Linked DNA regions of Stegostoma tigrinum. The protein of the gene in region 1 interacts with the protein of each later gene in a biochemical or structural test. Links are inferred from orthologs where the notes say so. Each region holds a gene or a part of one and is shown in the gene's direction. Other genes may lie near its edges. The genes, in order: troponin I, slow skeletal muscle; troponin C, slow skeletal and cardiac muscles.

Region 1 (3,928 bases):
TAGATTACCTCATACAAGAACAATAATTAGATTTTAATGTATGTGTCCCTGGATTATATTGGAGGGTCATAGCTGTATTCACAATGCCAAATTATTTTTATAGATATTTTCTAATCAACCTATACCTACACATCCCAGGATCAGGCCTCCTAGTTCAGATGTAAAGATACTACCATTGTCCCTCTAAGAACCCACCAACAAATACATCTTATAAATTTCTCCAGTGCAAATGGTTTTTATGAAAGTTGGATTGAAAATGAGAACTTAAGGTAAATAGCTTGGCATGAATGTTAAAAGCCAGTATCCCATGTTGTTGAAGGGCATTTAATTTTTAAAATTCTTTCTTGGCATGTGAACATAAATGAGCAGGCCAAAATTTACTACTCATTGCTAATAACCCTTGAAAATCTGATGATGAGCCAATTATGTGTCATTTTTATTTCTGCCAGCACTCAGCTCATTTATCCTTATAATTTATCCATTTTTGCACATGGAAACTAAACAATTAGTAATCGGCAATAGAGCCTAGAAGGTCTGATTGTCTTCAATTTACTTACTTTACATTCTCTATTTACAAATGATAAATGTGTACTGAAACTGTGGCATATCTATCCAAGGCCAGAAACAGAGCACAAGGCATATAACTAGAGGTACACAGTTAAAATCCTCCAGAGCACGTAAAAGATTTCAAAATATATTTTAATGTGGCCCCAAGAAATTGCGTCAATTGTCTTTGTTGCTTTATCGATTTTAAACCGTGTCATCAAAGAAGATTAACTAAAGATAAATAACACAGGTAGATGATCTGAACGCTAAAATCACTTGCAATTGCAGCATATGTGTAATTATATTGTACTAGGGCTGTTGAGGGCAGCCAACGTGCACATGTTTGGACATAGTGCATCATTCTATACATATGTGGTGACACAACAGAACAATTGAAGTTAGCTAATTGAGTATTTCCTTTCAGAGCTGTTAGGGAACATGTTTCATCGGCTCAGGTTTTATTTCTTGAATTTGATGTTAGCCAAGTGGGAAGGTAAAACTTATATGCCATACATGAAAGTGAATGTAGACTGGATGTCTCTTCATTCTGAAAAGTTCCTTTTCATTCCTTTCCTGACATGGCATTTGCAAAACAAACAAAATCTGGGGAAATGACTCAAATCTGTGTTTTCTTGCATTTATTCACAGAATGTGGGCATCTTTGGCTGGACCAGTATTTATTGCCCATCTCGCAAGTAAGAATCTGAAGTCACATGTTAAGCAGACCAGGTAAGGATGACAGATTTCCTCCCTTACAGGGCTTTAAGTGAACCAGATGGCATTCCCCGCCCAACAATTGACAATGGTTTCATGGTCATCATTAAATCCTTATTCCACATTCTTCATTGAATTCAAATTCCACCATCTGCCACAGCAGGATTTGAAGCCAGATCCCCAGAACATCAGCTGAGTTTCCTGGATTAATAGTCCAGTGATGCCACTAGGCCTCTACCTCCCTGCAAAAAGCTGCATTTAGTGCGTTATTCTGATTGGGGAGGATTTTGAAAATGAAGGCCACTTCTTTCTGGAGGAGGCTAGAGCTCAAAATTCACCTTGAGTGGTGGTGCCAAACAATGCTATCATAGCAGCTGCCACTTGTATGCAGAACCTCATCACCAGTTTCACTCGATATAATGGATCGCTGCTCTGGCATTACTTGTTTATGTCAGAACCTGGGACCAATTTCTGTTGCATGATGTGAAACATTAATATGCTGCCTGTAGTTGCCATGAATATTAAGTGGAGAGCAGTTGATAACCAGGACTTCTTGCTTTTAAATTTGTCCTACATTTTAGAAGATTTCTTACTTTCACATTATTTCCGGCTACTACAAGGCTTATGTGGTCAGATCGTTAGGTTTTAAAAAACAGTAACGTGCTGCAGCATTGTTGTTAATTCCTTTATTTTCCAAGATAATACTACCGTTATTTTTCCCTTATAGCCCTAATGCTTTCTTGTATATACTTTACACACCTCTTATGATGAGAAATTTGATCAAACCATCGAGAATTATTGTACTTAATTCTTCATTCACTCACATGTAATTGATGATTAATTTATTTTGGATAGCAGTACTATATATTGTTTTAAGTAAGTAATGTCTATTGTTTTTCCCTTCACTTCCCTCAGCTTGATTAAAGAGGTGGTTTGTAGGAAAGTAATTCTTCTGTTTATTTTGGTATGCAATAGATGGTACTGTTTACCAAACAAGTCCCTGTTGAATTCATTTTGGGACAAAGTGATAAAAATTGATTTTCTTTTTGCATGGATTTCATGTTTTTGACATAATTTCAGCTATAAACATCACCTCCAGCTCACTTCAAAGTTGTATTTCCTGGATTTGGAATACAATAATAAAGGGCCAGCTGGATGCTGTCTGATGTGGTGGGATTTGACAGGGGTGTTCCGGGTCATGAACCCATCCCTTGAGGGGAAAGAGACAGTGCTTCCAATTTTGATGAAGGTTGGCGTTAATCAATGAGAGCTTAGAAGTGGTGGCCAATTAGTGGCTTTAGTGAGGAGCAACAGTAGAGGCTGAAAAGCAGGTCACATTCTGGCCCAACTTACTGGTTTTATAAGCTTTTAAAAAAACGAAACCATTTGAACCTTCTGTTGGCTAAGGCATATGGATACCTGGAACTTTAGACAGCACAAGGAAACCTTCATGTAAAATTTCATTGCTGTGGAACAGATTTCCTTTAAAGTTTCCACTTTTCCTAAAATTCCACATTGTTGACGCTGCTCCCAACAAGGTTTTGTTTTATGTAGTTTCTAAGAGCTAGCAGCACCAACAAAAATGTTGCCACCTTAGAATGGGAGCTGTTTAAGTACCCCTTAGTTACCAGAAAGTGCCCAGTCATTATTGGGATTTTACTTCTCTCTGTTTCATATACTCTCCTCTCCCACCTCACAAAAATTATCGGAGTCAGGAATGGGGACATGGGAGTGTTACAGCACATAATGTGAGCACCACTTTTTCACTCCTATTTGCCACTCTAGCCCCTCACCTACGGACCCACCTGCCATCTATCCACTTACCTACCTTGCTTCCCTTCCTCATTTACCTGTTGTTAGCCTGTCCCTTCAAGTACGCATGTGCCACCCTGCTCTGTCACCCATTTATCTGCCATTCTAATTCTCTCACCATTCACCTGCCAACTTACCACCCCACTCAATTACTTGCCATTCTGCTACCTCCCTCACCTGGCAGCCTATACATTTGCCCATCTACCCATCACCCTTCTAGTTCACCTACCAGCCATCCTATCCCCTCATCCTCTTTCCTGCTACCTCCGGCTCTCACACACTTACCTGTCACACTATCCTCCCTCACCTATCTATCTGCCATCCGGCCACCCTAAACCCTCACACACTTACCTTCTCTTCGTAACTTATCTAAGTACCTTTGGGATCTTTAAACTATTTTTCACAGGAGACCAAATACTGAATGAATTCCTTGAGGGTCTCCTGAGATGGAGGCATCCAGGACAGGTTACACTCAAACGTTTGATTGTAAATATCACTACCAAGTAAGTGCGCAATCAGGATCATTGTTGGTCAGATCTGTCCAAGAGTAATCGGAAGACTTAGACCATTGTAATTTGATATTGGTTTTGGAATTTCATTTCTATCTGGGAATATGGAAATGGAATGACTTGTCAGATTGAATAAAAAGTGTTGAACGCATTCATTTAAACGTGTAATCGTTCCATTACCAACACACTGTGGCAGCCATATGTGCCATCTACAAAATACACTACGACCACTAACCAACGTTACTTTGAAAACATATTTCAAACCTGTGATCTCTATCACTTAAAAAAGACAAGGGCAGCAGATGCATGATAGAACTACTACTACTTGCAAAGTCTCCTCCAAACCA
Region 2 (3,928 bases), on another chromosome or scaffold:
TATAACTACACATATACACATATAACTGCAACTGACAATTATATATCACCTCTAACATAGAAAAGCATGCAAAACTGTTTAAATTTATAAAGAAACTGGACAACAATCTACAAAGGTGGCTTTCATGAATTGTCTTAATGAGGCGAGGAGGGCGGACAGGCAGTGGGATTTAGGAAGGGAATTCCACAGTATGGAATCCAAACAGCTGAAATCACAGCCACCAACAGCAGGAGGAAGGAAAAGCCAGTTTTGGAGGATTGGGAATACAGGGTGGAGACCTTTTTGCTGACAATCAGCTCTCTGCCAACATTTGAAAAGATTAAAATAGGTTTAAAGTCCCAAGGTAATCCACTGCATCTGGGAACTTTCCAAATTGATGAAAAGCAAGGTCAAGCCATGAAAGGTAATATTCTTGAAGTGGCCTTGCATCACTTGTTGAAATTTGATTGGGATGGTTTTGTGACCAAATTATACAGTTGAATGGCAATGATGCAAAGCACAACAATATGCCATAGCTAGCCCATTAGATGCTAAACCAAATGTGACCATCACCAAAATAATCAATCCACATTAACGGGTAAATTCTCACATTGCAATGACAGATGAACTACAGCCAAACAAAGAACCAACCAAAAACTTAATTGTATTGTTCATAGTTCAACTTAATATTTACCTACTTTTGCATTTACTTTTAAATGTTTTGTTTTGTTATTTTGTTTGTAGAATCTGATTACCTCCAAACTAAACCATTAACAGAAAAATAATGTTAACCCTTCAGCTGTAACTGTTCTCCTTGTATACTTGAATATTTGACCAGCGGCTGTCTCTTGTATTGAGCCATCAGTAGCATTTTAACAGGACTTCCAAAGCTGCGAGACCTTGTGTTATCCCCAGCGACATATCAAAGACAAGAGGAGGTGAAAGGCCAAGATGCCAGTTTAATTATGTCTTGACGATGGTATTGCAGCCTCTCCCCGCCCCCTCCCAAAACCCCAAAGGTATTCCATTTTTTTCCCAATTCTTATCTGACAAGTTGCCAGTGATTTACGGCTGTTCGGCTTGAATAAAGAGCCCAGCATGTGTTTAATGTCCTGGTGGAACTGTGACCTCTATAAAAGATGTTGCAGGACCATTGACTCTCTGCCTGCCAACAGCGCTGCATCCATCCTCAACTATGGAAGATATTTACAAAGCAGCGGTGAGTACAGTCACTGAAGGAAGACACAAGTTTCGCAGTTTATATCTGAGTTTTTCACTTTTTCTTTGTTCTGAAACTTGCAAATTAATTGCAATGACCTTCTAGAGAAAATGTGCACGTGTAATGAATGGCTTTGGGCGAATCTTGAGCCAGAATTTAGATTTCTTTTGTTGATCTGACATAAAGTACAAAGACGTCGTATACAAATAATCATACAGCAGGATCATTGAATAAAATTTTAAGTTATAATTTTACCAAGCTATCTAAATTTGTAACAACTTTTTAAAAAAATCGGTAGTATTCCTTCGTTCAAATTAAAGCTGTTCGTGGACAGTTATTTAGAAGTAATTGTCGATCTTTGCGAACAGTTAAGCAGGTCAGCCGGCGCCTACGCAGAAAATTGATTTTCTACAAATCATGTTGAAAGAGGGTGACCGGTTAACTCGCTTGGTTTTGGTTGAATTGAATGCAAGTCCAGTCTTTCAAATTAGCATATGAAAAAATAAAGTTTGTCTTCATTAGTCGATAATTGATAAGGAGTTGAAGCGTTTCTTGTGCTTAAAGTAACATTTCCATTTTTAAGTGAGCTTTAAAGACTCTTAATGATTCCCAATTCGGACTTATTTTTGTAGCCTTTTTATTGTCTCAACTTATAGACATCTCCCAATGGACATTAAACAGCCCACATGTGATTTTACCATCGGTCCAAGAATTCCATTTCTTTTCGATTCAAACCTGTTGTCCTGACTTATTTTTAGTTCATATAGCTTATTTTATCAAAGCTGACATGCTACATTACGACTCGTGTTTTATGAACCAAAACAAATTCCAAAGTTAGTCCAACTCATAAAAGTGTATTGCGCACAAATTACTAGCTATAAATTTGAAGTATAATTAAGGGACGCCTGCATTATTTCAGGTCCTTTTAACAGAGGCTTTGCCTGTAATTTTTACATGCCGTCTTCAAAGAATGCGATCAAGTGTTGCTCCTGCTTGTTAGAGCTAATTTTGGCAGCGAGGAGCCAGCTATCTTGGCGATAAGCTTCCACCATAAGCTACCCAAATGCTCAGATAAAAATTTCAAGGATGTGTGTCTACGTCAATCAAAACGGACACAAAAGCAAACCATGCACGGTAAAATTTGTCTTAGCTCTCCTCCACAGTTGTCTTGTCGTTTATCTTGTTAAAAATAACAAGGAGTCGTGTTACCAAGGCCACAGTGAATAGCCCTATAAAAGAGTTTGCTTTTGTTCGGTACCTATTCATGTCCAAACCATCCTGGTCCAGATGAGATGCCAGAACAATGATAGCAGCTGACTGCTTTTCATGGCAGTTCTTTCAGTAAGATCCTTTAGAAAACATTTGAGCGTTAGGGAGAATTCTGAATGTAATTAGTTTGGTGGTAGGATGTACTTATTCAAGAGGTATAACCAAACTCCCACTTTGGCAATTGGATATATAGAATCATAGAATCTCTACAGTGCAGAAAGAGGCCATTTGGCTTATCAAGTCTATGCCAACCCATTGAAGTGTATCTGACCTAAACCCAACTCCCCAACCCTTCCCCATATCCATGCATGGGGATTTTTACCATGGCTAATATTCCTAGCCTGCACATCCCTGGACACTATGGGGCAATTTAGCTTGGCCAATCAACCTAACCTGCACATATTTGGACTGTGGGAGGAAACCAGAGCACATGGCGGAAACCCATGCAGACTCAGGGAGATCATGCAAACTCCACATAGACAGCCATCCAAGGCTGAAATTGATATAGTTGCTGAATGCTCACTGCATGCTTAAGATTTCACAAGTTAAAAACTGAAGGTAGAAGAAAATCTTAAGCTTCCTGAATCCTAATAGAACTCCTCTGCAATGTGCCAACTAATTTATTGCCTTATTCAAAACTAGTGCTCACTCCTACCATCTTAGAGTAAATGTTTACTATCTGTAATATTTGCATTCAAAAGTAGGATCAATAATGAACTCTTAGAATAGGTAGGCAAAGCTAAAGTAGGACTTTGACTCTTTGATGGCTCAAAGCCTGTTGTAATATTTGATATCAGAGTAAAGTTTCTGCTGACATCAATTGATTCAGGAACTTATGATAATAGCCACAGTGCATGTTTATTGCTTATTTAACACAAAGTTTATAGAGAAGATGGAAAGAAAACCAAGAAACAAGACTGGAAAATGACGAAATGTAAGTAAGGAAAAAAAATTAAGAAAAGCAATGGCATTCGATGAGAAAAACTGAAGAGGATCAAGGAGGCAGAATGTTGCATAAAGAAGCCAAAAGAAGGAACTGTAGATCCCAATCATTTGTAACAAAGTTAGAAAAACTCGACATGTTTGGCGGCATCTGTGCAGGGAAAACAGAGTTAATGTTTTAGATCCAGTGACCCTTCTTCAGAACAAATTGTAACACAGGTTAGGAAACTATTGTCAACACATGCTTGAATCTTTTGAGCAAGTGCAAGTGATTGAGTAAAACAACTGATTCTATCCAGCCCACTTTCTAATAATTTTTGGTGTTCAGTGCTGTACCCATTATTGTCACTTCTTCAAATATGTCTGAACTCAAACCGAATATGAAGTAAACTCAGTGAACTATTCTCAATGTTATTTTAACAAACCCTTCATATTTGAATGTATCTGTCCCATTAAATTAAAACATACAATGAACAAGTTAAAGATAATATTGAATTGAAAAAAGAAATCATATAATTC

Evidence for each region.
Region 2: the proteins of troponin I, slow skeletal muscle (region 1) and troponin C, slow skeletal and cardiac muscles are reported together in a solved structure, tested with the Homo sapiens proteins (2 studies listed by BioGRID, with this or other methods). The link is inferred for Stegostoma tigrinum from reciprocal best matches to the Homo sapiens genes TNNI1 and TNNC1.

The regions. Positions count from the first base shown.
Region 1 is NC_081374.1:32,238,991-32,242,918, reverse strand, and holds the start of troponin I, slow skeletal muscle, read left to right. Parts: upstream 1-1,194; 5' UTR 1,195-1,195; coding exon 1,196-1,275; intron 1,276-3,928. UniProt on the Homo sapiens protein: Troponin I is the inhibitory subunit of troponin, the thin filament regulatory complex which confers calcium-sensitivity to striated muscle actomyosin ATPase activity.
Region 2 is NC_081364.1:20,356,762-20,360,689, forward strand, and holds the start of troponin C, slow skeletal and cardiac muscles, read left to right. Parts: upstream 1-1,108; 5' UTR 1,109-1,174; coding exon 1,175-1,198; intron 1,199-3,928. UniProt on the Homo sapiens protein: Troponin is the central regulatory protein of striated muscle contraction. Tn consists of three components: Tn-I which is the inhibitor of actomyosin ATPase, Tn-T which contains the binding site for tropomyosin and Tn-C.